3 linked regions of the Alligator mississippiensis genome follow. The main gene of each other region encodes a partner of the protein of the gene in region 3 in a complex. Links are inferred from orthologs where the notes say so. Each region holds a gene or a part of one and is shown on either strand. Other genes may lie near its edges. The genes, in order: PHF10, PBRM1 and SMARCD1.

Region 1 (10,128 bases), on a different chromosome or scaffold from region 3:
GCAGAGACAGCACTCTATGAAAATCACAGAGAAAACAGGGAGTATGGCTAACTCCCCCAAATATATAAATATCCTTCTCAGGATGCCTGGTGGCAATGCAGAGGTGCTCAGTCCTTCTTTGGGGCTGATATAAATCAAGGAACACAGTATGGCACCAGCAGCAAAATGAGGGTGTATATAATCACCCTTAAAGTATCAGTAAAACTCACTTTCTTAGATGTATAAAAAGGAACCATACATAATTTACATAAAGCTCTGAACAGAGCATTACAGAGTAAATGCCTTTCAGGAAGAGAATGTAGAGAAAGAAACTGATGCAAAGCAGCTGGAAAAATACAGGTAATAGGAACCTTCTTTTCAAAACAGAGCTATCACAGAATAGAAATGATAACATCAATAGCACTTCTTGCCAGCCAGATTTCAAGAGATTTAATGGCAAAAGAAGAGATGTTGTTTAGAATATAGGCTGTGGTGAGATCTCAGGGGCATATGTTCAAAGGTAGAAATAAAATGGAATGTATGTAATCATAGCAAAAAGATGTCATCTAATCTAATGTTTACTTTGTTTGATGGATCTTCATCTACAGCCCATTTCCCCCTTTCATTTGTATAGGTCTTTCATACAGCATCAAGGAAAACAAAAGCACATATAACACAGGGAAAGACAGGGCTTTTCTCCATTTAAAGGGCTTACCAGTACAGCTAGACTGGTGGTAGGAATAACAGGAAACAGTTGATCCTCTGGATCATGGTGTACATGTAAGAGGTCTAATAAGGTGTCAGATGAATCTGCTTGTACAGAGTTCTGCAACCATCACATCAAGACCTTTGATGCATACACCTGGGCAGGAGTATGGAGGAGTGGAGGCTGCCCAAGACCCACCACCCTGCCTTTAGACCATTGAGACAGAATCCAAAGGCCACCTAGTCCAAACATTCAGTCCCTTGATGGTTGTAGCTTCTGTCACCGAGCAACAGATAAGAACTGCTGCTGACTGCCTAATGCCTCGCTAAGGGCATGTTTTTATCAGGGCCACAAGGCAGTGAGGGATAAGGTTTTGAGGCGCTCTATACTTGCCTTACTCTGAAGGTTTTAACACCATGGTATTTTTCAGCAGCACCACTGTCTTTCTGGTGTATAAGTCCTTCCTACATGCACATACCCACTCCTCACCAATCCAGTTACACTGGCAAAACTTAATTGCAGACAACACTGCACAACAACTGGCAGGGAAAAACAGATTTAAGTTAACAGACCTTCAGTTGATGGCATCCTTTTTAAAACAGAAGAAAAGTTTTAAAGGGAAAGGGAACGGGGAAGCAGAAAAGAAGTGGATGAAACTCCACATCTTAATAGTTTTATTATGATACCCTAAAACAGGGGCCGGCAACATTTATGAGCAGAGTGCCAAAAACATCGCAACCTTGACTTGTAAGATGTTGGCATGCTGGAGTGCGTAGTGGGGGAGCTGCTAGGGGCCTGATCCCTGTTGTGGCAACCCCTTCCCTGTTGTCCAACCTGAGGCACATGTGCCATGCTCTGGCAACCATGCTGGGGGTTGCCTACCCCTCCCCTAAAACTATAGAAACAAGTATCAATACAATATATTCACTCAGCCTTGACACTAAAATAGAAGTTCAAAGATGGAAAGCACAAAGACAATGAGAAAGCCTTTGGCTTAAGAGTGAAGGCTGAAAGAACCACGGGCCTATGCACACATCATATTAAGAAGTAGATATGATGAGCACACAGACATAATGCCCTGGTGATTTTTGTTGGAATATTTTTATCCCATCTCCATCAGCAAACATACCAATTCCAACAATAACTGAAACAATGCCAGGACAGATGCTAAGGCCAATAACTGTCATCTTAGACCTACTGTTTCCATTTCTGGATTGAATCTAAAGTTTGATGTAGTGTTACCCCCAAAATAGCTGCACTTTCCTCAAGGGCTTGCAGAGGAGGAACATCTTTACTTACCTCTCGAATTCATTATCTTTGATACCAAAATTATTTTAACAGTACTCTCTTACCAACTCCAAAACCTGTCTAGCATAAAAAAAAATTTGGCTGCAGGTGACACAGATCTGGATTGAGAATGAAAAGTTCTGGATTTCACCCAGGTCTAAAGTAATGAATTAGGAGCAAAAAGCCACCTTTATAAGAAAGGCTCAGGCCTCCACCCTGGAAAGCAATGATTCCAAGAACAACAGGGAAATAATTAGTTGAACACAAACTCAGAATGAGATGCTGCGAGATGCTACAGGATTCTTGGATTTATTTTAGAGAGATGACACGAAGCAGCTGTAGTGCAATTACACCACCTCTCTGCCACTGGAATACCACGACCGGTTCTGGTGTCCTTAATTTAAGGAGGAAGGTTCAAAATGGGAGAAAACTTACAAACCCTCCATATGAATAATGAGAGGAATGGAACAGAGGTTTCCTAACAAGAGAAAAAAAATAAGCTTGGCTGCGTATCTTAATTAAAAAAAAAAATTTTTTTAAAAAGGCTTGAAGAACAACTTGATCCCAGCCTCTAAATTCATGCATGGGAAACAGAAAAAGTAGGAGAGAGAGGGCCCGTCAGCGTAGCACAGTGGTTCTCAACCGTTTTAGAAGGCCCCTGTGGAGGCCCTGCTCCTTAGACTGGAAGCTCCCTTAGAAACTGCCAGCTCTTGGTTTTCTTTCTCCATTTTTTTTTTTTTGGACTGCAGAAAAATACCAGAGCAAGTCTATGTCACCTCTTAACTGCAGCACCTTGCTTGGAGCGCCTGCTCAGCTGATTATTCTCTGCAACCTCCCCAGCTGTTGCCAGAAACAATGCTTTCCAGGACAGATGCCTGAGCCTGACCAGCCTTTTTGTAAAGCATGGCTTGTTTGGGGGGGGAGGGGGGGGGCGGTCATCTCCTAAACACATGACTCCACACCTCCGCAAAATCTGGAGCATTTCCTTCTCTGTCCAGATCCACCTCACCTGCAGCCCAGTCTTTTTTGTCACGCCCCACCAGCCATTCTAGGACCGAGAGAGAGAGCAAGAGAGAGACCCAAAAAAAGAGGGGAGCAAAGTGCTCTACAAGTCTACAGCCATGCTTGGACCACCATGGACAGGGCCAACCAACAATTTTTTGGGGCCCCCTGCCACAAAGAAGCCAGCCGCAGGGGAGGGCGGCGAGCAGCTGAAGAAGCCAGTGGCGCACAGCCAGACATGAAGCTGGGGGCAGGGGGGCAGCAAGCAGCCAGGTGTAAAGCCAGTGGCGGGGGCAGCAAGCAGCCAGACGTGAAACTGGCAGCATAGGGGTGGCAAGTGGCTGGATGCAGCGGGCCCCTGCAGCCACAGGTTTTGCCCTGGACTCCTGTTCCAAAGCCCTGGGTTTGGCTCACAAACAGAGCCGGACACAGGCACGGGCAGACAGGGCGGCCGCCCAGGACGTGAAAAGAAAGGGGGGGAGGGGGGAGGCCAAAATGGCAATTGTTATTATTATTACCATCATCATCTCTTGCAAAGGGGCGGCCGCATACTACAAGTTCACCCGGGGCCGCCAGGAATCTAGCTATGCTGCTGCTCCTGAGGTAGCTCCCCGGGACCCAAGGGCAACGCAGGCACCCCCCGGGGCCGGGGCCGTGGGGGAGGGCCTGGGCCGCGGGGCTGGGCCCGGCCTGCGCAGCTGCCGCCGGCGCTCGAGGCTCCCCCGCCCGCGCCCCTCGGGCCGCGCTCACCTTGAGGGACTGCGCGCCGGGCGTGGCCGGGTCGCTGTCGCACACCCTGGGGGACAGCACGGCCGCCATCACCCCAGTCCCTGCCGCCGCCGCGGGCTCGGGCTGGGCGGGGGGAGGCGCTGCCGCCGCCGCCGCGCTGCGCACGGCCCCGCCCCCGGCCCCCGCGGCGACGCGAGCAGCGGCCCCTGCCGGGGAGAGGGGGCGGCCCCGGCCCCGACCTCGGCCTCGGCCCCGGGCCCGGCCGCCGCGCCGCTCGCCCGCCTCCTGCATCCCCCTGCCCGCCGCCGCAGCTCCCCCCCCGCGGGCCTGCCCCCTGTGCTCGCTCCGCCTCGCGCCGCCCGCACCTGGGCCCCCTCCCCCGGGGCCGCTCTCCCCCGGGACGGGGCACGGCATCACCCGTCTGAAACACCTCCGAGGATAGAGAGCGTGGCTGTGCCGCAGCACTGTGGTACCCTCCGGGGCTGTCCACACGTGCATCCTTGAATTTACTGCGGGTTAAGCAGGAATAGACCGGTGTCTACACGTGCCTGACGGCGCCCTAACTAATTGGGTGTAAATTTCATTTCTATCAAACTTTCGCTCAAGTCGGTGTAAGGTGCTGTATTTACCGCATGGTTATTTCAGAGACTGCGTGTGGAGGCGCGCCCTCGTATCCATACAGCAGGCCTAAGTGGTGGCAATGCGTGGTGCAACACCACCCTGAACTTTGTTCCCAGGTCTGTGACATGGGAATAAAAAGCCGGCATCCCTCAGTGGGGGTTGTGATCAAATCAGTATGCGTGAGCTGATGCCAGGGCCTTGCTGGCACCAGGGCAGGGAATTGTAGCTGGCTTTCTGACTGTCTTCGCATTCCCCTCTGTTGGGTGATCAGAGTACTGGGCCAGTGTCTTTGTTTTATATCTAGCCTTTTTCCTTCTTCGCCTGGGGGCTGGACCCGATAATCTCGTGAGGTCCCTTCCAGCCCTAATGTCTGTGAAATCTATGAGATCTATGTCCTTAGATCAACACGGCTGCAACCAACACCCTCAAAACATGGAAGATACCACATTTTGCTGTTTGAAATGGAAACTTCACAATATGAAAAAGAAAGAAGCCAAACTCAACAGCGACATATATTTCCTAAGCCTATGCAAGAAACACAGCCTCGTTCCCAGAGGACTGAACATCTACAATACTCTGAATCAGGGGCGATGCGTAGAGGGGGTGCATGCGGGTACACATGCACCCCCTGAGCATGGCGGTGGACCCCCTACAAAAAGGCTCCGCCAACACTGTTGACCCCTGCAGGCAGTCGCTGCTTGCCACCCGGTGCCGGCAATGTCTACGGGCAGTCTGCAATCCCTGCTGGCTGCTGGTGGTCACCAGCCCTTGGTCAGTACTCAGCACCGGCGGTGTCTGTGGGAGCTCCTTGCTCACCACCACTGGGCTCCTCCCGCAACCGCTGTACTTCAGCTGCTGCCATACCCTCCTAGCCACTGGGGGCACAAGTCGTTCATGCTCTGACTACTACACATAACTCTGCTATGCCCGGTGTGACAAAAGAAATCATTCCTAGTTGGGGGGGGGGGTATTGTAACGCTTTAATGTTACGGTAGTGCAAGAGCACTGGTGTAGCCGTGATGGTCCAGAAATGAATGTGAGGGGCAAGGATTTCTTAGGGTGTTGTCTTTTACGGTGCCAGTTGGGATCAAGTTAAACAAACTTTCCAATGCAAGACCTTCTTCCTCAGGGCTCTGATGACATGGAGCCAGGCTGAGCGGGTTTAGTCGCTGTGCCTGGCTCCTTGTGATCAGAGCCCTGAGGAAGAAAGTCTTGCATTGGATTTAAACAGTCTTGATTTAAACAGTAAGGAAACTGGCAATGATCCATTCTCCTTTGTCAAGCGTATGCAGTCTTTGGAAATATCAAGGAGGTGGCAAATGTAAGTAAACAGCCAACCAAATAAGGTGTGTATCACAACATACTGGACAACTGTATGTACCATGAAAAAGAATATTTTAGAGCAATGTCTGCAGCTAACTTATTCTACAGTGCTTAATAGAAAGAACATGTGAAACGCACAGCACCATGGCAAATATACAACACTGAAAGACAAACTTCACATCTGTTCAGTCATTGAAGTGTGGATTTCCTTCCCCATGTTCACATAAGTCTCCCAGCAAGACTAAAGTAATTTAAAGACGGAACAAATTAGATGTATATCATTACAGAAAAGTTAAGAGTCTGATCCTGTGAACAATTAAGATGTGCGTTTTTACCCGCATGAATAGTACCATTTCATTCACCATGTGTGGTCTTACAGAAGTCAGTTACTCATATATTTAAAACAGTGATTTTCGACCAAGGGAGTATGGCTCCTCAGGTGCCTTGAGATCCTTTCAAAGGTGCTGTAGGAAACCACATAGTGTTAGCACTCTGAGGTGTGCAAACATGATTCACAAGATAATCTTCTCTCAAAAAATTAATGAAAACTAAGAGCTGACATTTTCTGAGAGGGGCCTTGAGCCTATAAAGGCTGAGAACCACAGATTTAAAGAGAGGTAGTTAGCCATACTAGTCTGAAGTCAGGCAGAAAGCAGTTATAAACTAACTCTGATGCTCAAACTTTTGGACCCGTGGGCCAGATAAGTGGCAGGGACCTGGTCCGCAGGCAGGACTGGGCTTCAGGCCCTAGCAAATTACGCCACCCATGCCCAGCAGGATTAGGTCCTGCACCACCCCTGTGTGCTGGGATTGGGCTTTAGTGCTGTGCCATACTGCCCAGCCTGAGAGGCCAGCAATGTAGGGATGCAGTCAGGCACCCACAGCAAAGTGAAAAGGGCAACTTCAGGTTGCTGTTGAAATAATTGTGAATACACAGCTGTCAGAAGCAACTATCTCCCCAACATCCCCCCCAAGTTGGGGCACAGTGGTTACCCCTATCATCCTCCCCGCAATTATACCAGTGTTGGGGCTTTCCCTAGGTCCAGACACTGAGCAGCAGGCAAGTGACATTTAATGCTGCCAGTGCTCCCCCCAGGTTTTTCAGCATACTGGGGAGCCCTACAGGCTGGGTGACACGGCTTGGGAGCCAGGTGTGGCCTGTGGGCTGGGGCTTGAGCATCCATGGACTAACTTATTCGGAAAGGCATAACCTTTTGGTGGCTACAACCTACTTTATCAGATGCTATGAATGTATGCAGTAGCCTGTAGCCTATGAAAGCTTATGCCTAGTCTTTACAGGCATTTTTACATGTGCTATGGGATGCGGTGCCAGGCACTTTAGTTAGCAAGCCAGGCACTTTATTTAAAAGCACCCGTGTGTCACGTGTATCAGCATCCCAGTGCTGAAAAAATGGCGGCAGGGCACTTTGAAATAAAGGTCATCGAATATGTTTTATTTGAAAGCACCCTGCCGGCTTATGCCTTTCTATACACACTGGGACTCCATGCAACTGTATACAAGTCCTAAGGTGCCATCTTCCCCTGCCTTTGCATATTTAAGAATTTGCAGAAGTGGGACCATACACGTGTATTTAAATGCACAAATAAGAAAGCTTTCATTTGCTTAAGTGTTGATTGGACTGAGGCCCAATGTTTAGCTTGAAGCCAAGTGTGAACATTTATAAGCAGACATGTAACTAGGCAGTTCTGCAGCACATGGGGCAGTGGTTTCCTCACCTCTCTAAATTGGAGCCCAGGGTTGGTGCCCCCACCATCCCACCTCACTTATGCTACTGCTTAAGTGACATTTCTAATCTGAAGATCTGTCTGTGTTAGAGGTAAGGGCTTGGTAGTACAAAACATTACTGCATTTACTCAAATCCAAGATGAGGTGCCCCCCTCCATTAAATGGGGGGGGGGGAATGCTCCTCATCTTAGATTCAAGTACAAGGTGGCTGGTTTGGTGGGTCAGGAGGCAAGTGCTACAGCTCTGACTGACCCACAGTTGTGGTTGTAGCTGCAGCTGCTGCCTACCCTCTCTCCTGCAGCCTCTACCCCTTCACCTACCCCCCAGAAGCTACCACCACCCCCTGCCCTGAGCCCTCACTTACTCTCTGGCTCCAACAGGGTCCATTCCCACTCCAGCCTGGGGCAGGGACATATAGCTGCTCCAGCACCAGCCCAGGCCAACCCACCAGCAGCAGCCTGCTACCAGGCCAGGTTGACACAGCTACATGACCCCTGCCTTGGGCTGTAGCAGGGATGGAGCCCTGCCAGAACCATTGGGGCTGGGTTAGGGGGCAGTGGCTGTGTGGGGGGGGAAAGCGTAGGTGGCAGAAGGGGAAAAAGGCTGTGGGGGGCCCCAGATGGCGGGGCAGAGGTGGGGGGAAAGACCAGGGACAAAACCTGGGGAGCAGGCAGCAAGGGGGACCAAGTGGAAGGGGAAAGCACTGCGGGGGGAGGTGCCAAGGGTTGAAGGCATGGGGAAGAGCAAGGGGGAAGGGGACTCAGGCACTGTTTGGTGCAGGCAGCAGTGGGGCAAGTGGAGGGGAGGAAAGGTATAGGGGAGCAAGGGACAGGGGTCAGGCTATCTATCTGATTCCCCCTGCTGCCCGCCCCTCACCAATCCTTTTACTGCTGAAGTGGTGGGGACCATGACTTTAAGACAATATCCCAATAATTAAATTGTGTACATGGAAAATTACAACAAATTTATGAATTTTCCATTATCAGAATCTAATTATTGGGAAGTCATTTTAAATTCAGAATAACTTAGATTTGGGTAAAGACAAATTTACACAGGATGTTCCAAATTTCAAAATACCAAACTGTTTAACAAGAAGGATAAGAAGTAACAGTTGACTAAAGTAGAGAGAGAAAATATATTTAATCTAATCAAAGTTTTTTAAATATAAGTTACATTACAGTGGCTTCTTATACCAGGTCTGTACAAACTCTTCCTGTGCAGCTTGATGAATATGACAAGACCTAGGGGAAAATACAATGTTACTTTTCTGTTGCAAATTCCACCTCCAAAGGCAGAACATTTTGCTTTAATGAATGAAATTGTTAAACTGCAGTTTGTTATAAATCCATTGCTTAGCAACTGCTGGAAGTGACATTTGGTACCTTGCAAGATGTGGCCTTAAACGTATCATTAATTTTTAGACACAGAAATGCAGTAGACATATAATATGCACAACACACACACAAATAAACTAGAAAGAATTAAAGTACAGTATGTGGATTTTTAACAAAACAGCTATTTTAAAATTTAAAAGAAAGCATTCAACAATAATATTTTGAAAGGTTTTGAACAAACATTCACAATGCTGTGAGATACATTAATAGTTGCAGCTTTTAGAAAAATTACTCAAAATAACAGGCAACTAGCAAAGCCAATACAACAAAAGATTCCATTTCACATTTAGCTGAAACCCAGTCATCCCTTGCAACATCCCAGAGCCATCTGCTGGCAATCTATATGGGAGAAAAGAACAAAGTACATAGAAACTCATTAAGTAGCACAAGTCTTAAGGAAATATTTTTTCACTTTAAAAATGTAAAATGAACATGCAGCATTACAGAGATACTGCTAGTTTATATGACTGTATTAAAAATAATGGATATAAAACTGCAAAATTACAAGGGGCATTACTAAATTCTTTATATTACATTATATTACTTGTATTAATTATATATATGTTTCTATATCATATTTTTATGTTACCGCGAAATATGTTTTTCCTTCAAAGAAAATCACATTTAAGAGATCTGACTTTCCAAAACCTGGAAGGTAAAAACTGTAATTAAGTGGTTTTCTCTCTGTTACCAAATTCACCGAAACAAAAGGTGTAAAAACTCCACATGCCCTCCATATACTGACATATGCATATGATAGATTATTGCTACGTGGCACCGTTGCTCCCTGTGTACCTGAATTCCAAGAGCCACCTTCCACTAATTCACTGTGGCTCTCAACCACCCCAAATGTGGTTCAAAGTGCCAGGAGACATGATACAATTCTAAACTTTTAATTTAGCTTTGAAATACCATGAGCAAACTAATTTGTGTACTCACATTTATTGCCTGACCTGTCTTTTCCACAGTTAGTACTGTTACTACATACTTATAACGATCAAAGCCCATTGCCTTGACAGATGCTATTATTTCTTCTGAGAGTGAAGTACACAGGAAGTTGCTAGTTGCACCATCATAATTAACTTCCTGAAGTCTATTCTATCAAAAGAGTTTTAAAAAATTATGAATTTTTAAAAAAAAAATCTCCATCATGTTTTTTCTCTAAAACTTTCAGTAATTTTAGCTACAAAGAAACAAATAAATTGCTTGAGTGCTAGCACAAAAGATGATGCACACCACACAAATAAGCTATCCTTTTTACTGTGAAATAATTGCATTAATAATAATAATGTGACCTTTAATTACTTTTAACAATTTTCCTTTTAGTTCTATATATAATG
Region 2 (9,889 bases), on a different chromosome or scaffold from region 3:
AAATATCAGTGTTGACTTTTTATATACCCATCATTTTAGCAAAGGGAAACAGAATGGGAATGAAGTTAAAATCATAAAATATGGAAACAGAAAATCACTGCAGAGAAGAAAATGTAGACAGAAGACAAGAGGAGACCCAAAAATTGCACAGACAGAAAAGCAGCAAAATGAGAAATAATGAGCAACAGAATGAGACAAGCAATCAGGAATTCAGAAACCAGAGCCGAATAAGATACTGAATGGATAACAAACATTTGATGTAGTATATGGAAAAGCATCATTATATTCTACCTCTTCATCTTTGCGCATATACTGCACTGACATCTGCAAGAGATCTTCAGAATGCTATCAGGGGTGCTTAAGCATAAATTTACACTCAAGCTCATAGATCATAATTAAAAATGGAATTCAGACTTCTTCACAAAATGAGTCTAACACCTCTTCTTCACAGCAATCATCTGAGCCAATGTACATAGAGTGTTGTTGGACTTCAGATAGTTATAAATAGGACTCAGTCAAAATTAGAGCTCAGGACACAAACTACACCTCTCAGCAAGGGAGACTAGGGAACGCTGCAAAGTCCTTAAAAAATGTAAAATATCACTTTGGGAGGACAGAGGTAGTCTGGAAAAAAGACACAGCGCCTCAGCTATGGAACATTATGTTACTGTCACCCTTATTTTAAATGTTCTTACCAAATATGTCTTTTTACAGCAAAAAATGTTCTCTTAATCGTTTTAACTTTTCAAAAGATATTCCACATTTGGATTTATGCAGCAAGATAAAATGTGTGCATGTAAAAAGGTACTTACAGGATCTACAGTTGGGAGATTAGACAGTCTCCGCCTTTTCCTGCTCGGGCCTGGTGTATTTGTTGAGTGGTGACCATCATCAAAATCTCCTCCACTGACACTGCTGGAAGGAGAAGTAGCCCTTCGCCTCTTGGAACCCATGGAATCCAACTTCTTCTATAATGAAGAAAGATGTTCTTAAACTTAAGGCATTGTACACAAGTTTTCTGGTGACAGCTAACTACTGACTATCAGTTAAGGGTATATAGAGTCAGGAACATTTGCAACAATTTACTTATGCATTGTTACCTAATGAGATTATTATTAAGTAAACTTTCAGAGTTGCATTAGTGGTTTAAGTCTATAAAATAGCACTGTTGCACACAGGTCAAGGAAAGTTATTATTTCCCTCTATTCAGCACTGGTGAGGCCACATCTGGAGTACCAAGTACAGTTTTGGGTACTCCACTACAGAAAGGATGTGGACAAATCGGAGAAAGATCAGCAGAGGGTAACAAAAATGGTGAGGGAGGCTGGGGGATCATGACTTATGAGGAAAGACTGAGGGAACAGGGCTTATTTAGTCTAGTGAAGAGAAGACTGAGAGAGGATTTAATAGCAGCCTTCAACTACCTGAAGAGGTATTTGAAAGAGGGTGGAGCTAGGCTGTTTTCACTGGTGGTCAATGATAGAACAAGGAGCAACGGTCTCAAGTTCCAGCAAGGGAAGTTTAGGTTAGATATTAGGAAAATTTCTCTCACTAGTGTTCTAGTAAAACACTGGAACAGGTTATCAGAGAGGTGGTAGAATCTCCAACCTTGGAAGTGTGTACCTCCCAGGTTACAGAAGTTTTATAAACCCGATTAGACAAAGCTTTGGCTAGGATGATCTAGTTGGGGATGGTCCTGCTTTGAACAGGGGGCTGGACTAGATGAAGTCCCTTCTAACCCTAATTTTCTATGATTCTATGAATCAAATACATTTTGAATTATATACTGCTACCCATCCCTGCAGGGCTGGGGACTTGCACAAAGTGCTGCAATTATCTAGCAGTTACTAGGATGTTTTTTTAAACTATAAAAGCTTATGACTCCTCATTCCAAAATAATGATAAGATGTATTGTCATGATACATGAGAAGTTCAGAGATAGTTTTACAACTCTGATAAGCTAAAAACCAAAACATACAGTTAATGCAACTAAGAGTAAAATCACAACTGCTATGTAATATCTAGTCCCAGAATCACAAAAACAAACAGACAAACAAAGGATTTGGGCCACAATACAGGTAAATTTGGTTGCATTCTCAAGCTACATCATTCTCACTTGAAAATTAGGACTGAGTGCAAATTGGATCACTCAAGGAGTCTTCTCTTTTTGTCCCTGGTCTGAATTTATTAACATCACTATTGACTGAAATTATTAGGCATCCAGCAACTACTGAGTTTACTATGAAACATATTGCTGGATCCTGCCAAAATGTTAATGGCAAGGTGTCACTATTACAAAAAAAATATTTCCAGTGTCACCCATGCTCTTTTCACTTTAACAATGTATTTTTCTGTTATATAATCTACAGTTTATATAAGGTGAAGTAGTGACATAGCTATGTTCATGTTTATTCCAGTGAACAATTCATTACAAGTAAACAAACAAGATGAATGAGCATGAGGTTGGATTCACTAAGGCTAAGATAAAGAAAAATAAAAGGCCAGGCAGGGGAAAGGAAGAAGGGTGTGTATATGATCAATAATTTACCAGATTTACCAGAGTACAACCAGCACCTCGAAAAGCCAGTCTCCTCATTGTGTCCAATGGTCAGGTTAAAGTACTAAGAGATGGCAAGTCTTTGAAAATGTCAAATCAGCAATTGCATTAATAGCCAAAGCTGAAAGAGAAGAAAAATGAGAGAAAAAACAGAAGAGGGGAAAGGTTAAAAGGAGAGAGTAGAGAGAAAAAGAATTTAAGAATAACAGTTGAGAAAAGCCATCACAAAGGCTGGAGAAAAGAGGAAACATAAATTTGGAGGGGGTTATCAAAAACTAAAGGTTTTCTGCATACGCAAAGCATATACATTTCTGGAACTTTTAACTAAAATGTTTAAATGCTACTATAATGTGAGCCATTCACTAGCCCGAGTAATGCAAGTATCACTTCATCTAGTAGCCTAAGTGTAAGAGGGAGTAAGTGGAAACTGTAAGTTGATGGTACTATAAAAAAGTAGTACAGTGACAGTAAAAAGAAGAAAAAAAAAGTCTTACAACCCTAAGTTACTAGGCAGACTTGTAGCAATGACCCACACCATCAAGACTCTCCGGAAATTGCTGATTCTACTTTATTAAGCCTTAATTTAACCCCCGTTCAAAAACCTTCAGCTATATCCCTATTGCATGACAGATTTTCAACATATCATACCATGAAATAATGAGCTTGATTAAACACAGATCTACTAAAATCAAAAGTGTATCAAGTCCAGCATGGAAAATATTAATCTATACAGTTTTGTCAGCAGTGAATACCTGTTCTAAAACTGTTCTTCTAAAAAAACTGTATTCAAAGAACCAAAAAGAATAAAATGATTTTTACTCATCTAGTATGTAGTACTTTATCATTTGGAATCAAAATATTTCATGTATCCTTGAATAATGCACCAAGTACTAGTGTATCTCCACTAGAAAATTGGTCCTTATATGAAGCAAAGGATCTTGAGGACTATAAAATAATCTGATGGGATTCAAGTACAGCATCTCCACACCACTTATACAATACTAGTAAATCCTAGCCATTATATTTTTTTAAACTTCTTTAAAAGGTTAGGCACCTGAAGACCCCACCTACAGGCAGTCACTGAAGAAAATTTCTCTTCCTAATACTAAAACATAATTTCTTCTAACAATATCTGAGGATGTAATATTCTGATGTACTCCATTAAGGTCCCACACATCTATTATCAAAAGTAATCCCCATGTAAGAATACTGTTTCTACACATCTTTAAAATATTTTTAAAAGGAGCTGAAAAGTGTTTTTTAAAAGTCTAAATTTTTACGTACCCTTCAGAGTAGCTAATCAAAGCATGTATATAGATGCCACAAAAACTATTTTTGAAAGTTCCCTGGATTTCTATAAAACCATTCAACAGATAGTTGACAAACACAACAAAATGATGGGGAGAGAATGTACCATATACTGTCCTGCAGCATTACTGACAAGACTAAAACTGTGTTGTAACCTGGGAAAGCATGTCAGAGGGTTGTTTCAGAGGATAAAGCAGGAAAGAAGTTAGCTAGGCCGCACAGTTGTCTCCTCAGCCTTGGAGAAAGAAGTGTACAAGACAGATAACAAGTACACAAAACAGAGGCTTGTCCCAGTTTAATTCTTCTCCTACCAAACGCTGCAGGACTCTGTTGCTCCCGTGGCAGGTTCCGGCAGCAGCGGCACTACTGTGACAAGACGGAACAAACTTTGAAGGGAAGCGCCGCTTCCCTGGGGCCACGCACGTCTTCGGGGCCTTGCACAGCCGTGGCAAGTGCGCTCTACCCTGCTGCCCGCCCCGACCCCGCGCATCGCCAGAGTGCACCGGACCCCTCACATCGCCGGAGACGTCAAGGCGTCGCGGCCGGTCCCTTCCCAGCCCCCGGCTGTCACCTGCGCTAGCGGCAGCAGAGCCCGCCTGCCCATCCCGGGGCCACCGACAGCAAACCGCGTGACAGCACCGGGCATCGAGGCTCCCGGCGGCGGCGGGGCTTCTCCCTGCGCTGACAGCCCCCGCCACCGCCCCGGCCGGAGCAGGAGCCTCGTGGAAGCACTGCGGCAACGCGTCTCCCGCGGGGGAATCGCCCCTCAAGACACGGGGCCAGCCCGGCGCGGCCGGCAGCGGGGGGCCCTCGGCAGTCCCGTGGCGCGGGGCGGGGGGTCGCCGCGCGAGGGCGGGCACCGCCGCCGCCACGAGCGGGCAGGGCGGCCACACAAAGGGAAGCAGAGGCCTCCCGGCTACCGGGCCCAGCCTCGCCCCGCCCCGCCCCGTCCCGCCCCGCCTCGGCGCACCACCTCACCGCTCACTCCCTCACCCACCCAGGCAGCTCCGCTCTGCCGCCCGCTACTGCGGCCGCACTCGCCCACCGCTGCCGCCCTGCCGGCACAGCCGCTGTCGCCCCTCACCACCGACCCTGCCGCTGCCGTAAAGCCCGCCCGGCCGCCGAGCGAGCCCGCCAGCGCGACAACCCGTGCAGCGCCTAGGGGCGGGACGCGGAAGGGGCGGGCGGTGCGCTTTACGGCAGAGCCGCCAGGTTCGGCTCCGCCGCCTGCACGCGGGGTGAGCGCGCGGCAGCAGCCATGAAGAGGCCTAGTGAGTGCGGGGCGCTGGCGCCGCCTGGCCGCGCGGCCCGGGAACGGGAGTGGGAGCGGGAGCGAGGCTGTGGCAGGGGCCAGCGACTGGGGGCCGTGGCCGTGGGAGGTTCGGGCGGGGCCGGGACTGGGGCGCGCGGTAGTGGGGGCCGGGCCAGGCCGGGCGGTCGCGATCAATCGGAGGCTGTAGCAACGTGGGGCCGGGACTCCGTGCCCAAGACCTGTGGCCGAGGCCCGGCCACACTCGGGCGCCCGTGGCCCGCGACATCATCGGGTGCTGATAGGCGGCGGCCTTCGTCTGCCCTCTGTTAATGGCGTGTCCTGATTGCAGAGCTTCGGAAGGGCAGCAAGCGCCTGACCTGCCACAAGCGGTACAAGATCCAGAGGAAGGTGGGTCACCAAGCGGGAGCGGTCGGATTCAAGGGACCAGTTTCTGCCCCAAGCACAGCATAGGCAGGCGGGAGGGGGAAGGCAAGCAGGAAAGCTCAGGCCAGGTCTTCGCTGCCCGGCTTCCCGAGGGCTTTGGGCTGCAAAGCACTACGTGGAGCCTCATTGTGTTCAGCTACATCGAAGTCCTGAACAGACTTGTTGCATTTGCAGGGGAGGGCTGTACACTGTTCAGCACTCACCTACACGTTCCCCAGCTGGGGCCCCGTAGTGCAGCTCCTAGTTCTTTCACACCGCACATGTTCATGGTTCCACTGTTTGTCTAGGGCAGTGGGGCTCAGTAGGGCTGTCCAAAATTTCAACTGGTGTTTTATTTTGAAGCTGTTTCGGCGCCTTTTAGCTTGGGACAGTGAAATCGAAATGAAACAACAGGCTTTGAAATGAAATGAGGGCACCCAAAATGTTTCAAGTTTCAAAGCAGCCCAGTGGCGGGAGGTGGGGGAGAGCTAGGGCTGTACTCCGAGCAGCTCCGCAAGCCCCACGAAGCTCAGCCCAGCAGCAGGAGAGCCAGTGGTGGAGCTGCTCTGAGCGCAGCCTTTGTTCTGAGCGCAGCCCTGGCCAGTGGCTCTCCCCTCCTTCCCGCTGCTAGGCTCAACTCTGTGGGGCTGCAGAGCCTCTTGCTGCCAGGCTACGCTCAGAGCGTCTCTGCCACTGGATCTCCCTGCCTCCTGCTGCCAGGCTGCACTTTGAGTGGCTCCACCAGCTCCATGGAGCTCAACCTGCTCTCTCAGCGCTGCCAGACTCCTTCCAGGGGTCTGGACCCCCAGATCTGAGGTATTTCTAATGTGCTGCGTTATCAAGAGCTCTAACATAGGGCTGTCTTCTAAGTAGCAGAGGGTTTCAGACCTTGCACCAGCACAAGCAATAGGCTGCATGCTGTGGGGGGGGAAATGCTGGCATGGCATTTTTTTTGGCTGATAAAGTCACTGATAAATTCTGTGTTTATGGCATGCATGGGGCTAGGAATACAGCCCAGCAGCTTAGAGAGCAGCCTCCTGCTGGTAAGCCTGGGTGGGGAAGGAAATTGAGGCTCCCAGGGTGAGGGAGGGATGGGGCAGGTGCTGCCCCATCCAGGGTGGTGAATGCAACCCTGGGGCATGTGGTGGAGCCACGCACTGCCATTCCAGAGGGCGGGGGGGATGGCTTCCTGCCGCTGTGCTCACCCTTGGGAAAGGCATGGGGGCATGTGCTGCCCCAGATTTGTATGCAGGGCGAGGGCAGGCTGCCCACTGCAGGCTTGGAGCCAGAGCTGCACTGGGGTGGGGTGGGGTGGGGTGGGCTCAGCTGTGGGGGTACAGGTAGCAGCACTGAGAGTGGACTTTGGGGACTATGGCCATCCCCAAATTCCCCATAGCCACCCTTCCCAGCACTGCTGCTGCCTGCCCCGCACAGCTGAGCCCACCCCACCCCCACCTACCCCAAGTGGAGCCCTGGCCCAGCCTCCACCTTGGGGAAGAGGCTGGTGCAGATGCTGAACCCTAGTGCACAGCGGGCAGCCCATCTTCACCCCCTGCACAAATCTCGGGGGGCACATGCCCCTCATGCCTCCCCCTAGGGGTGCGCACAGTGGCAGGGGGGAGTCCCTGCTCTGCACCCCCTAGATGAGCTACCCACGGCTCTGCCTCGCCCTGGGGTTGCATCCGCCACCCTGGGTGGGCAGCACCTGACCCATCCCTCCCTCACCCTGGGGGCCTTGATTTCTCCCCCCCCCCCCCCCCCCAACCTACCAACAGGATGCTGCTCTCCAAGCTTCAGGGCTGCATTCCTGGCCCAGTACTTGACATGCACGCAGCATTTATTGGTGGTATTATGGGCCAAAAAAAAGCTGAAGGCTGATAATGTTATTTTTTCTGTTATCAGTGCTGATCCAATATGCGACTGATATATCAGTGCACCTCTAGTCTTTACCTCCTTGCAGAGGGGCTGGGACATGGGGGTGGGATAATTACTTAGATCGGCATTAGCCTGAGCCTGAGTTAATCTACCTAGTTTATCTTATCATGAGGGAATGCTCAGAGGATCTGGCAGTACTCCAGGGTGTCCCATCGCCCTGGCTGAGAATCATTGCAGTAGAGGTTATTTTAAGTGGATATGGGAGTCTGAACGGTGCTTGAAAATTGCCTTCAAGTATATTGTAAAGAACAGATCTTCATTGGGAGGGGCAGTGGCACAGATGATGTAATACTGTAGATCTTTTGAATTTTAAGTTTGTAATACTTAGGATTCATTAATTTAGCTATAGCTACATGCGTGTTGATTTTGCAATTAAAAATCTTTCTCTGGCCACATACTTATATGTAGGCATTTAGCTTTTCCTATTAAACTGAATTCCAATATATATTCTTTCTTGATTACAGGTACGGGAACACAAGAGAAAACTCAGGAAAGAAGCCAAGAAGCGTGGAAACAAAAAGCCCCGAAAAGATCCAGGGGTTCCCAGTGCTGCACCATTCAAGGAGGAAGTTCTTCGTGAAGCTGAACAAAGGAAACAAAGGGTAACATAGTTTAATTTATAGTGAAGTGAAAGGGGGTATGAAGACAGCCTCACTTTCAGGGGAACTTGGTGCATGTCATCCTTCACTTTACATAGCCTTAATAGCCATTTACTTGGATGGGGGTGTTTAATCTAGTACCCAGTGCTGTCCACAGCCTGATCCCAGTGATTGGGTAGGGACCTGTGTCCTGGACTTTGGGGTTTCCCCATGCCGGATCTCTGTGCTCAGCTGAGTATTGGGATCTTTCATGTATCAACCCCAACATGCCACACTTTCACTTTAAGGTGTGATACAAACAAGCCACAAAGATATTATATATGGAATATCTTTGTGTCTTATTTGCTATATTAATATCCCATAAATCGGCTTTAACATATGTACTGTTTATGGCACAATTAACATCTTAATCATGTCCTAAATGTAGTGTATGCCAGGGCCCCAAGATCTCTTTCCTGTATTGTAACATTTAATGTAGATCCCTAGTTATAGGTTGCATATTATGGTAATTAATTTCACAATTTCAGATTTGAGCTCCTTCAGGATGCTAGGGTGAATGTTGTCAAGTCCTAGTGATTTGTTACTGTTTGGTTTATCAATCTCCTTTAAAAGCTCGCCTTGTACCTCTGTTTGGATCAGTTCTGCTGACTTGTCTGTTGGGAGAAATGGCTCTGGTGAGGGATCTCTCTAACATCTTCATAATAAAGTTCTGTTGCAAAGAACTAATTTAGTACAAGTGCTAAAATTCATGCAAATTAAATTAATAACATTCCAAGTTGAGTTTTCAACCTCTTTTTAACAAATGTACCCCTTCTGCCTCAAAGTTTCACCTTGTACCCCTTTATTTTTTTTCTTGTTTTTAAGGAGGTGGGGCAGATTGAGACCTCAGTGGTGGGGGAGGGAGTGGGGCAGGGCACAGGACTGAGCCTCAGTCAGTGGGGGGCAGCTCCAGCCACTACATGCATGGAGGGCATGGGGTGATGTGCCTCCAGATCTGCACGTGGGGCGAAGGTGGGCCACTGCAGGCTGGGGCCAGGACAGTGCCGGGTTCTTCCCGGTCAGGGGCTGCACTCAGGATGGGCAGTGGCGGTGCTGGGAGGGGACTACGGGAGGGGCTGCAGCCACTCCAGAATTCTCTGTAGGCCCCCGCCCCCCAATCCTTCCCCATGCTGCCCTGGCTCCAGCCCGCAGCTCACCCTCACCCCACATGCAGATCTGGGGGCACACGGCCCCTATGCCCTCTGGGGGTGCTCATAGTGGTGGGAGCTGCACCCCTCTGTCCTGCATTCCACCCTGGCTGTGCATCACCTGCCCTGGCCCCACTCCCTTTCTCACCGTGGGGGGCTACAGGAAGGGCTGCAGCCACTCCAGAATTCTCCATAGCCCCGCCCGACCCCTCCCTCCCAGCACCTCCACCACCTGTCCTGAGCGTAACCCAGCCCAGTCCCATGCCAGGAAGAACCCAGCGCCACCCCAGCCCACAGTGGCAGCAAGCTCCGTCCTGCATGCAGATCTGGGGGCACACACCGCCCATGCCCTCCCAGGGGTGCATGTAGCAGCAGGAGCTGCTCCTGCCCCAGCTGTGTAGCACCTGCAGCTACCCCAGCCCCACTCCCTCCTCCACCATTGAGGCCTTGATCTGCTGCCCTCATGCCCTTTCCCCCACAGCAGACTTACCCGTTGGACCCAGCTGCTATCCATGCTGCCGGACTGTGCTGGTTGCTTGCGTGCTGCACTGTGGCTTTGCTCACATGGAGCATTTATTTAGCATGTTATTGGGCATATCAGTTCTGCGTGCCCTCTACGATCTTTTTA
Region 3 (10,779 bases):
CCCGTCTCTCGCAGAGAGAACATCCTGGTGCTGGACATCTTCTTTGAAGCCCTGAACTACGAGACCATTGAGCAGAAGAAAGCCTACGAGGTGGCTGGCTTGCTGGGTGAGTCTGCAGGTGCTGGTGGCCATGCTCGGGAAGAGACACAACTAGGCCTGCGCTCATTCCTGAGCAGTGCCAGCCTAGCTCGTGCTAAGGGTCCATTCAGCAGGGATCCTACGGGCTCTGCCTCCTGCCTGGCTGTGGGGAGCAGCGAGATCTGGGGCAGGGAGGGCAGTTGGGGACCCTAGTGCTGTGAGCAGCATGACCCACCAGCCTGCTCGGCAGCAGCAGAAGCCAGGCCCGCTCGCACCAGGCTCCCTCCTCAGCCTCCAGACACTTGGGTTCTTTGAATAAAGGATCTAGAAAACGCCGGTGGCTTCATCCGCTCCATCTGTGTGGAGCAGTCGAGGTTTGGGCTCAGGGAACAGGCTTGTGGGACAAGGTCGCCAAGTTGCACCTGTGTCACCTGGGCACCCAGCCTCAGCTGAGGACCACCACGGCCTGTGGAGCAGCGGGTGAGCCATGGGGAGGCGGAGGGCTGCAGATAAAGGACAGGCAGTCGGGTGAGATGTGCACGTGCAGTCACAGCAGCTTGTGGGGACTCACACTGCACCTCTGGGACTGGAAGCACCCAAGATAGGTGGTGTCCCCCCCCCCGGGGCACAGTCCCTGTCCACAGTGGGTCACAGGCCATCCTGGCTTGCCTCTTCTGGGGCACATGCCCCCCCCACCGCTGCCTTCTCTAGGGTCAGGCCCACAATCCCCAGCTGATCTTACCAGGCATTGGCCTTGCAAAGGTCCCCATCACAGGCAGGTGCTAACGAGATTAGTGTGAACTAACGGCAGAGGGATCCGGCCTGTCGCTGCAGGCAAATGAGTCACTACAACAGGTGCAGCTGCCGCCTCCTCCCTCCCACCTCCTTTCTTTTCTCCTTCTCTGCTTCCATCCCTGCTGTCACCCAGCCCCTGGGAGCAGAGCCTGCTGCTCCCCCCTGACTGCCTCTCGTCCCCTCTCCTCTGCAGGTGACATTGGTGGGCAGATGGGGCTGTTTATTGGGGCCAGTATCCTGACTGTGCTAGAGCTGGTTGATTATGTTTATGAGGTGAGTTGCCTCGCTCTCCCTTCTCCTTGGCTTTGGAGCCTGGTCGGCCACGGGGGGATAAAGCCCCCTTCCCTGCCGTGCAGCAGAGCGCTCCCCAGAGGTCCCCTCCCTGCCAACCTGCTTGCCCAGACCCTGCCTTGCCCAGAGCAGCTGCTCCCCTGCTCCATGTCCCTTGCCTGCCTGCCTGCCGGCCGCTCTTCGCCTGATTTTACCCTCCAGCCCCGTCGCGTCAGCCTGGGCTTTTCTGCTTTGCCACTCCCTGGGCCTCTGCCAAGCTTGGGCTCCTCTTCCAATCCTTATGGACCCAAACGTCTCCTGCGAAGACATCCCTCCCACCATACTCTTATCCCACCCTTCCTACCCAGACACTGGTGCTGTGGGGTTGTGCTCTCAGCCTTCCCAGTGCGCGTGCAGGACGTGGAGTCACGCTGGATCCCCTGCTGCAAGCAGGATCTGGCCTGTGCGTTTCCCGTCGCAGACGTCCCATCGCTGGCGACCTGGCCCTTCCCCAGCTTTGAAGAGCACGGGGCTGCTCGTGTCCAGAGGGGCTGTCTCAGCCAGCAGATGCTCTTGCTGCCCCCAGGTTATAAAGCACAAGCTGTGTCGCCGGGGCAAGTGCCGAAAGAACCACAGAAGGAACAACGCGGACCAGGGCGTTGCTCTGAGCATGGATGATGTGAAGCGCCACGTGAGTACTCGAGGCCCCACCCTGGTGCCCGGGGCTCGGCCAGAGTTAGCCTCCACCCTCCAGCGCCCACATAGCGGGGGCATCAGGGCACTGAAGGGCTGCCCCTCTAAGGACCTTTCCCTCTCTAGCAGTGCTCGCGTTGCCATTGCTGGGGGGTTTGGGATTGTCTTCACATGCTCCTAACTTGCCTCTCCCTTGTGCCCAGAACCCCTGCGAGAGCATAAGGGGCCACCCAGCTGGCATGACATACGCAGCCAACATCCTACCTCATCACTCAACCCGGGGCACTTTTGAGGACTTCACCTGCTGACTCGACGTCTGGATGTACAACCAACACTACCAAAGCCCTCTGGAGAGCTGCCCCTCTCCCCGGGAGCGTCAGCGGAGGGGACACACCTAGGGACCTTGCTCCTAGCCACGGTGGGACACGGACAAGAACGATGGCCTCGGTGCTGGGCCAGGCAGCAGATGGTTGTGTTGGGTTGGTTTCTGACCCTGGATACAGACTCCACAGCAGCTGCTCCCCTCCCCACCCCTAGTTTAGAGACTCTTGGACATGCCAGCCCAGCTACACCGTGACGCGACGCTGGGGGCGTCTCTTCCTCAGCGCCCTGCGGGGAGCTACCGCACGCCGGGCTGGGCCCAGGCCTTGCCCCGCTCCTGCCCTCGCCTCCCCCTTCGTTTTTAACTAAAGAGAGCAAGGAACCCAGAAGCCAGGAAGAGTCAGCTCTGTGGCTGCGAAGGCACCAGGGGGAGGAGGCCCTCCCCCTTCCCCATCCATCCATCTGTCTGCCTGCTTTCCCTTCCATCCTGCTTCCACGGGGAGCCCTGGGAGGCAAGGTCGGGTGTAGGGAACCTGGTCCCTCTGCTCGAGTTGAGCCAGCTCTGCAGAGGGCCTTGCTCCCACCCAGGAGGCAGCCCCCGTGGGTGCTGGGCTGGGTCCCCCCTGCTTCAGCAGGATGCTCCAGGTTGTCATCCCTGGGGCAGGTGGAAGAGGGTGGCGAGAGCTGACCCCCGAGCGCCTCTGCTGCCTCTTGGGCACAGCCAGAGCGCTCTCGCTCTTGTGTCAGCCCCAGCGCATCTCACTGTGTCTCGCTGAGTATAGGGTCCTCGGGAGCCTGCTGCCATAGGAAGGGCTCTGCCCTGTGCCCAGCGCGCCCGCTGTCCTCCAGTGCACCCGTGCACGGTGCTGCGAGCTGAGCCGAGGTCACGCCAGCTCCCTCCGTGAGCTAGTGTCGCTCTAGTCCTTCTATCGCCATCCTCTGCATGAGCTGCCCTGCCCCAGCCCTATGAGGTCTCTGTCCCCAGCCCCCACGGTGTAGAGGGCTGAGGCCCCCTCCCAGCCTCCACTGTGGCTGGCCCCAGGGGTGGAGGAGGGCTTTCCAAAGAACCCGAGGGGCCTCGAGCCGCTCTGCCCTCAAGCAGTCCCCAGGTGGATGGGAAGTCGCTGCGGAAGGGGCCTCTCCACTGCCTGACGAGCCCCCTGCACAGGGGCGAGTGCATTGGGTGGGCAGGGGATGTGGGGGCCTGACCACATCTCCGCGATGCCCGTTACCGCGCAGGCAGTGGTGGTCCAGGGGGAGCCTGCCCAGTAGCATGGCCTCTCAGCCCAGCTGCTCCCAGGCTGCCCCTCAGCCCGTGGAGCAGCCGGACACAGGTGTGACCCCCCCAACAAGGCCCTGGTTCAGCTTTCCCAGGGCAGCCACATGCTGGCAGGTGCCTGCCCAGATCCTCGTCCCCCAGGGAGTACGGGGCTCTGCGCCCCTTCTGCCAGGCTACGCACAAGCCCACCACGCTCCTGGAACAGCGAGTCTGGAGCCGGGAGCGCCTGCAGCCAGGAGCGCTGGCACCCTGGACTGAGCCAAGCACCCGGGGCAGCAGCTTTGAGCAGGGCAGGCGCTACGCGCACACCCCAGCCCGGGCCTCAGCCGCCCTCCCCACGCCAAGTAGTCTTACCGCAGGAGGGGGGTGTTGAGGTACAGGGCTCTTTGCTTTGGGGAGGGGGTGGACACCTGCCCTGTCCCTGCAGCCAGGCTCCCCCAGGCAACAGCTGCTCCTGGAAACACAGGGCTTGGGCACGGTCTGGTGCAGAAGTGGCCAGCAGCTGTCCTGGGTCTGGGTCCCCTGGGGCCTCTGCTGGCCGGCTGCCCTCAGAGGGGGTTGTGCTCAGGGAGCCAGGCCCCCTCCATGGACCACCGCTCCTTCCAGACCCACCGCAGGCTGCTGGGCTGCAGCTGTTTGTCACAAATACCGCTGCAGCAGGGGTTGCCGGCCCAGGAAACCTCAATTGTTTTGTTCCACGGTCAATGAAAAAGCCTTCCCGTCGCCCCCGACACTGGGCTCCAGCCCTGTCGAGCTCTGCCCCATGTTCAGCAACGGCCCTGCCGGGCTAAAGTGCTACTTATCTTTAAGAGCTTTTGCAATAAGTCTTTTTTTTAATGATGATTATTATTTTTTTAATCTTTCTTTTACTTTTATTGTTGTTATTTCCATGTCCTGACCAAAATTAGGAATTGGGGGGGTCAGTCCTTTGTATCCTGCAGTCACCTGAAGACAAATGGGTCGGCCACGTCCATAAATTTTCTTATGGATCTTTCTTGCAGTTTTGTTGCTTTTCATTTTATTTTTTGGTTTTGTTCTCTCTCTCTCTCTCCCTCTCTCTCTCTTTCTCTAAAGCTTTTAAAGATGGGGCTTGGATTTGACCTCGATGCTCACCTGTTGAGGCATACAATTTTTTTATTTGTTTGTCTGTTTTTATTATAATCATCCTCATTTTATATTTCTTATATATAATATATATTACTATATATATATATGTACATATATATATATATATACCTCTATATGCGCCATATCAGTGTAGATACCCATCCAGTAGCATTTAGGCCTTGATATTGTGCCATTTTCTGTTACCGATCTCTGAATGCCTTCAAGTGTATAAAGTGTTGAATTATCTCTGGTATCTGTACTATGTACACACATTTTCATAGGAAGCACAATAAGATGACAGATGCATTGTACATCAAACCTGCTACTCTTAGCAATGATATAAAGGATGGTATAAATCATGAAGACAGCCTTCTTCTCTCTTGCTGGGCTGCAGGAATCAATCTCCCAGGGGCGGGTAGGCACTGCACACAGGCTGGGCTCCCTGCAGGGCTGAGGTGGGCTTCTCAGCCGGCCGTGGAGCGGGGCCGTGATGCGAGAACAAGCTCCGGCCCTGCCCTAAGTGCACGCTTAGATTGTGAGAGGCCCAGAGACTCCAGGCGTGCTTTTGTAACAGCTCACTTAGATCAGGGGGTCCCAAAGGAGGGGCTGCTGGAAGCACTTCCAGTCCAAGGGACATCTTTTCAACTATTTACTGGCTTTGTCCTCTGGCGGCGAGTCAGCGATTGGGGAGGTTTGAGCAAAAGCAGAGTCTGTTTTCAAGCGTGTAGGAAACACACTTTTCCCATTGTTAGCGTGAGCCCGCTAGCCTTTTACCGGGGTCGGTTTGGGGCAAGAACCTGACACTGAAGGAAGAGCCTGTCTCACTTGTCTGACTTAGTAGCCCTTGTGCATGCAGGACCAAGTGTACTGTGCAGACTGGGACATAAACAAGAGCTCTGCCCAAAAGCCTTTTCAGCCGAGTGTTTCTCTGGAACAAAGAGCAGTGCATATAAATTATGCTTGTGACCCACTTCTGTTGGGCCGGGCTGGGGCTAGGCTGGCCAGGAAGAGGCGGTTTTTGTCTAGGAGAGGAATGGTAGAAGCAACATCCTCTGAAAGGAGTTGACAGACCTAAATGAACTGGAGCCAGCCGTGAAGCAAACCCCAAGTGCAGGCATAGCATAGCAATGAGAGGAGCGGATCGCACCCGCTCCTGGGGCTACCGCAGCGATCTGAGGACCGGCGCGGCCGCGGCACGCAAGCCGTCGGCAAGTGCTGCCATCAAGGGCGCGCCGCGCCTTTGCGCACGGTCCCTGGCGGCACGAAGGATACAGCTCACTCCCACCAGCCTCCACCTCATGTCAGCATTTCGGCACGGAGCTGGGACCTGGGTTGTGAGGCAAGAGGGACCCGCGCCGGGCAAGGGGCAAGGGCCTGCGGGCTGGGCCAGCGCACGGGCAGGGCGCGGCACAGACGCCCCAGCTTCCTGCCCGGGCTGCTGTGGGGGGGCCAGTCGCTGCCACCGGCCGTGGCCCTGCAGCCCGCGGTCGCTGTCACGGTGCGGCGCCGCGCTGCAATAAGGGTGCGGAAAAACTCCAGCGGGTCCAGAGAAGAGGCGCCCCTACGATGAGGGACTTGCAAGGCAAGCCAGAGGCGGAGAGGCGGAGGGACTTCGGTCTCAAGAGACGGCGGGGAGGCGACTTGATAGCGGCTTACTGCTATCTCAGAGGAGTGCAGCGGGAGCTCGGGGAACAACCCCCGCGAAGACCAGGACCAATGGGTGCAAACTCCTGCAAGGCCGCTTCAGGCTTAATAGCAGGGAAAACTCCTTCACAGCCCGGGTGTCCCGAATAAACTCCCTCCGGAGGTGTGCAGTCCCCTACCCTGGAGGTTTCCCAGAGGAGCCTGGACAGTCACCTGAGCCCAGCTGTCTGCCGGCCTAGTGCCACCTCCACCGCGTGCACCCATTGCTCCTTCCGCCACCGCGAAGACCTGCCTAAGCGCCCCGCCCCGCCCCGCCAGAGGGCGCGCGCCGCCGCCCCCGGGGCGCTCTAGCCCCGCCTCGGCGCCGCGCTCTATGGTCCGCTTCCGCTTCCGGCGCGGCGCCCCTCCCGCCGCCCCCTTTGTGCGGCACAAGATGGCGGCGCGGGCGGGCTTCCAGGCCGTGGCTCCGAGCGGCGGCGGCGGCGGGGCGGCCGCGGGGGCCGGGGCGCTGGGGCCGGGCGCGCCGGGGCCCCCCGTGCGCATGGGGCCGGCGCCGGGCCAGGGCCTTTACCGCTCCCCGCTGCCGGGGGCCGCCTACCCGGTATGGGGGGGGGAGGGGAGGCCGGGGGGGCCGGGCCGCGCGTGGGCCCGCCACCGACCGGCCCGTGTGTTTGTCTCCGCAGCGCCCGGGCCTGCTGCCGGGCAGCCGCCTGGCACCGCAGGGCCCGGCCATGGGCCCGCCCGGCTACGGCGGGAGCCCCGCGGTGCGGCCCGGCATGGCCCAGGCCGGCCTGGACCAGTCGCGCAAGCGCCCGGCGCCGCAGCAGATCCAGCAGGTGCAGCAGCAGGCCGTGCAGAACCGCAACCACAAGTAAGGGCCCCCGCGCCCGCCCGGAGCCGTGTCCGCGAGCGGGAGCCGCGCTCGCCTGCCTAGGCTGCGGTCTCGGGGGTGGGGGTGGGGTCGCTGGGTGGCGGCGGGCGGTGATTTCGGGCGGCGGGCCGGCCGCGCTTCGAGTTTTGGCAAGCTGTCGCTGCCCCGTCCCTGGTTGACACCTTAGGACCAGAAGTCCTCACCCTTGAGCTTTGCCACCAGGAGCCCCTGAGGACTGGGGCGATGCCTGCGGTCCTCCCCTTTCTCTCTCCGCCCCCCCTTTCCTCCTCATCTGTGTTACCCGGGGCGCGGGGAGGCAGGAGCAGCTCGAGGGCAGAAGCCCCTTCCCGTTGGGGCTCGGGGTGGGTGGGACTTGCTGCTGCGGCTGTGCCGTTCTGCCGGTGGCTTCCCCTGGGTCCTACTGCTCCTGGTTCCTGTCATCTTTGACAGGCAGCCAGGAGCAGATTCATATTCATTTTGTACATTTTTTTTTTTTTTAGGGGACCTGCGGGCCGTATTTTGCCCGCCCCCGAATTAGGTAGAAATAACGGTACGCAGATGGTACAGCAAGGGCAGCTCTGGGTTGGTTGGGCTTTTTTCTTTTTTAACTTCATAGCAGTCATTGTGCCTTGGTGAGCGGTGGCAGCCCAACGTTATCCGTCGGTTGAGAAAAGGATTGACTGCAAAATCTATCAATCGATGTTAAATCAAGAGTGCGGAGTCGCTTTGTACCAAAGTAAAATACTGCCCCCAGCTCAGTGCAGCCCTGGTTCCCCTGGGAGACCGGAGATGTTCAGAGACCCGGGGGGTCTCAGTGCTGCAGAGCTTGCTGTGCCGGAGCCGAGTGCCAGCCCCGCTGTGGCTAGGCGCCGTATGCGTGGGCTGACAGTATAACAGCTGCACTGGAGAGGCCAGGGCCAAGGATGACCCAGAGCATCTCGCAACACAGTTGTAGGTCTGAGGGTAAAGCCCCTTCCGGTCTGAGGGGCAAAGGGGTTGCCACCCTAATGCATGTGTCTTTTTTTACGCAGCGCTAAGAAGAAGAAAATGGCTGACAAAATTCTACCTCAGAGGGTGAGTGTGGCGCGTGCGCGCAGTCTCCAAGCTCTCAGCGGTTTGAGCGGCGTGTTTGACTGGCTTGTGCTTTGCTGCAGATTCGTGAGCTGGTACCCGAATCTCAGGCCTACATGGATCTGCTGGCATTTGAAAGGAAACTGGACCAGACGATCATGAGGAAACGGTTGGATATCCAGGAGGCCTTGAAACGACCCATTAAGGTAGAGGAGGAGAGCGGCTTACGCCCTTTGTCTTGCCCAGACGTGGGATTAGTTTACATGGCAGCGTGCTGGGGAGGTGAAAGGCAGAGGGAAAGCGTCTTGGCTGCGGGCATGGCATGGACGGGGTTATTGGCATTTAGCGTTTAGGGTTTTGCCATTAATGTTTTGCTGATACTTTCTTAGCAAAAACGAAAGCTTCGCATCTTCATTTCCAACACTTTCAATCCGGCCAAGTCGGATGCAGAGGATGGTGAGGGGACTGTTGCCTCGTGGGAGCTCAGGGTGGAAGGACGTCTGCTAGAGGATGTGAGTGCGAGAGCTGCAGCTCCTTTTGGGAGGCCAAGGGAGGTGCATCAGTGTTCGGATAATGTGGGTTGAGTGGGCATAAGATGGGAGTCCCTTGCTAGTGGGTTGTGATTTAAAAGGTTTGGACTTGCAAGGGCAGACCAGCTCTTTAGAGGCTGAGGCTGTAACTAGGGGCCTCCTTGGTGTTCAGTAAGAATGAAACAGAAATCTGTTGGGGGAGGGTAAGGGTAAGAGAGCCGTGCCTGGTTCTCCAGCCTGTGGATAGGGATGTTTCTAAGGCAGATTTATGGGGAAAGGGATAAAACACACAGTAAAGAGGCAAGTGTTCTGTGGGCTTCAGGTCATCATCTTCATCAGCCCTGTTATGTATGCTCAATGGCTGGGGTGGGCAGCCATGACACTCTTCCTCTTCTGTGCTGCTGCAGTCAGCTCTGTCCAAATATGATGCCACCAAACAGAAAAGGAAGTTTTCATCCTTCTTTAAGTCTCTGGTCATCGAGCTGGATAAAGACCTGTATGGCCCAGACAATCACTTGGTGGAGGTGAGCTGTCCTTCTTACTGTCCCTGAGGGAGGGCTGCAGTGTTGGCAGTGGGGAGGTGCGTGTCTTGTTCCTGGGAGATGTGGTTTTGTCTAGGGGCTGGCACAAAGGGGTGGGCCAGGAACTCGAGAGGTTGATCCTAACTGTGCTGCCGGTTTGTTGCGAGTTTGGGACATGTTGTTAACATTTGTGAAATGGGAAGGATGCCGAGTTAAATCTTGAGTGGGGGCTGGTGCCTGTTGCAGAAGAGAATGAATTTTTTAGGTCTGCAGCTTTCATAGTTTATGAATCTCTTTAAATCTTGAGATGAAAGGTAGCTCCTCTTTGAACTACAAATCATTACTAGAATATCAGTGTGCCTCTGGAGCGTGAGAAGTGCCGAACTACAAAGCATGATGCTGCGGGATCATGGAGCACTTGCGTGGCAGTCGTGTACGTGTGTTCTCAGTTCTAGCCACCTGGCTCAGCCGCCTCAGATCTGTAACAGTGCAGGCAGTGGATGAAGTCTGTTGTCCATACGAGTAGCTGTTGCATAACACAGCATAAGTGCCTGTCCTCCATTTCTCCGTACTCGGAGTAAGGCTGATAACTCGGGGAAGGCAGCAGAGTATGTCCTGCCCTGCTGTCACCACTGAGGGTCTTGGTCCTGAGGGATTTCTGTGCACAGTTTACCTCTGAACACAGGGCCGGAAGGGCTCCTTGCCATCGTGTCCACTCTTCTGCTGTGTTGGGCACAAGGTTGTATCACGTTCCATCTTACAGCCATTAGTCTTGTTTGCCTCCTCTGCTCCCGGTGGAAGGCTGTTCCAAACCAATTGATTGTTCTGACACGTTACAGCTTTCTCAATTCCTGTCTACATTTATTCATGGCCAGTTTATACCCATTTGTTCTTAGGTTAAATAGCCTTTTTGTCTCCTGCTGCATTTGTAGCCGTCATATTTCTACTTGGCATTTGTTTTGCAAGAGCAAACAAGCCAAACTCTTTCAGTCCCCGTCTTGGAAGATAGGCTGAGCAAATTGGTTATCTGTTTGCTTTTCTGGTGGACTTTCTAAGCCCCAAGGCTAGGGTTTTGTCCTCCTTTCAGAAGGAATGTTGGCGTGGTCTCGGTGCTCTCTGGCCAAATGCAGCGCACGTGGCAGAGATTGCCCAAAGCCAGACGGACGAGATCTGTGTGGGGAGGGACCTCAGTCATCTGTAAATGGCAGTGTATAGAAAGGCATTCTGTTGGGCAGGCAGTGGGGGCAAAGGCAGTCGCCTAGCAGTGTGTGTCCGTAAGTCAAGCTGTCTCCCTGGTTTGCTCATTGCAGTGGCACAGGACTGCTACTACCCAGGAGACGGATGGCTTCCAGGTGAAGAGGCCTGGTGATGTGAATGTGCGCTGCACTGTCCTCCTGATGCTGGACTACCAGGTAGGCAGGCTTACATGATGCAGCTCAGAGCCAGGGGACAGCCCGCATCTTCTCATCTCTGTCATGCTTTTGTCTCAGCCTCCACAGTTCAAGCTGGACCCCCGCCTGGCCCGTCTCTTGGGGATACACACCCAGACCCGCCCGGTGATCATTCAGGCACTGTGGCAGTATATCAAGACCCACAAAC

Evidence for each region.
Region 1: SMARCD1 (region 3) and PHF10 share a complex: the UniProt entries of both Homo sapiens proteins name them as parts of the neural progenitors-specific chromatin remodeling complex. The link is inferred for Alligator mississippiensis from reciprocal best matches to the Homo sapiens genes SMARCD1 and PHF10.
Region 2: SMARCD1 (region 3) and PBRM1 share a complex: the UniProt entries of both Homo sapiens proteins name them as parts of the SWI/SNF-B (PBAF) chromatin remodeling complex. The link is inferred for Alligator mississippiensis from reciprocal best matches to the Homo sapiens genes SMARCD1 and PBRM1.

The regions. Positions count from the first base shown.
Region 1 is NC_081824.1:146,951,139-146,961,266, forward strand, and holds the start of PHF10 (PHD finger protein 10), read right to left. Parts: upstream 3,995-10,128; coding exon 3,725-3,994; intron 1-3,724. Other genes in the region: DYNLT2 (dynein light chain Tctex-type protein 2), read right to left, coding at 9,017-9,127, 9,728-9,886. UniProt on the Homo sapiens protein: Involved in transcription activity regulation by chromatin remodeling. Belongs to the neural progenitors-specific chromatin remodeling complex (npBAF complex) and is required for the proliferation of neural progenitors.
Region 2 is NC_081835.1:38,674,635-38,684,523, reverse strand, and holds the start of PBRM1 (protein polybromo-1), read right to left. Parts: upstream 4,539-9,889; 5' UTR 4,512-4,538; coding exon 4,437-4,511; intron 4,232-4,436; exon of another isoform or gene 4,177-4,231; intron 969-4,176; coding exon 813-968; intron 1-812. Other genes in the region: GNL3 (guanine nucleotide-binding protein-like 3), read left to right, coding at 5,124-5,136, 5,467-5,525, 7,940-8,077. UniProt on the Homo sapiens protein: Involved in transcriptional activation and repression of select genes by chromatin remodeling (alteration of DNA-nucleosome topology). Required for the stability of the SWI/SNF chromatin remodeling complex SWI/SNF-B (PBAF).
Region 3 is NC_081838.1:5,929,423-5,940,201, forward strand, and holds the start of SMARCD1 (SWI/SNF-related matrix-associated actin-dependent regulator of chromatin subfamily D member 1), read left to right. Parts: upstream 1-6,612; 5' UTR 6,613-6,620; coding exon 6,621-6,788; intron 6,789-6,870; coding exon 6,871-7,058; intron 7,059-8,089; coding exon 8,090-8,132; intron 8,133-8,212; coding exon 8,213-8,335; intron 8,336-8,518; coding exon 8,519-8,641; intron 8,642-9,066; coding exon 9,067-9,183; intron 9,184-10,490; coding exon 10,491-10,592; intron 10,593-10,670; coding exon 10,671-10,779. Other genes in the region: ASIC1 (acid-sensing ion channel 1), read left to right, coding at 15-106, 1,067-1,146, 1,730-1,834, 2,040-2,144. UniProt on the Homo sapiens protein: Involved in transcriptional activation and repression of select genes by chromatin remodeling (alteration of DNA-nucleosome topology).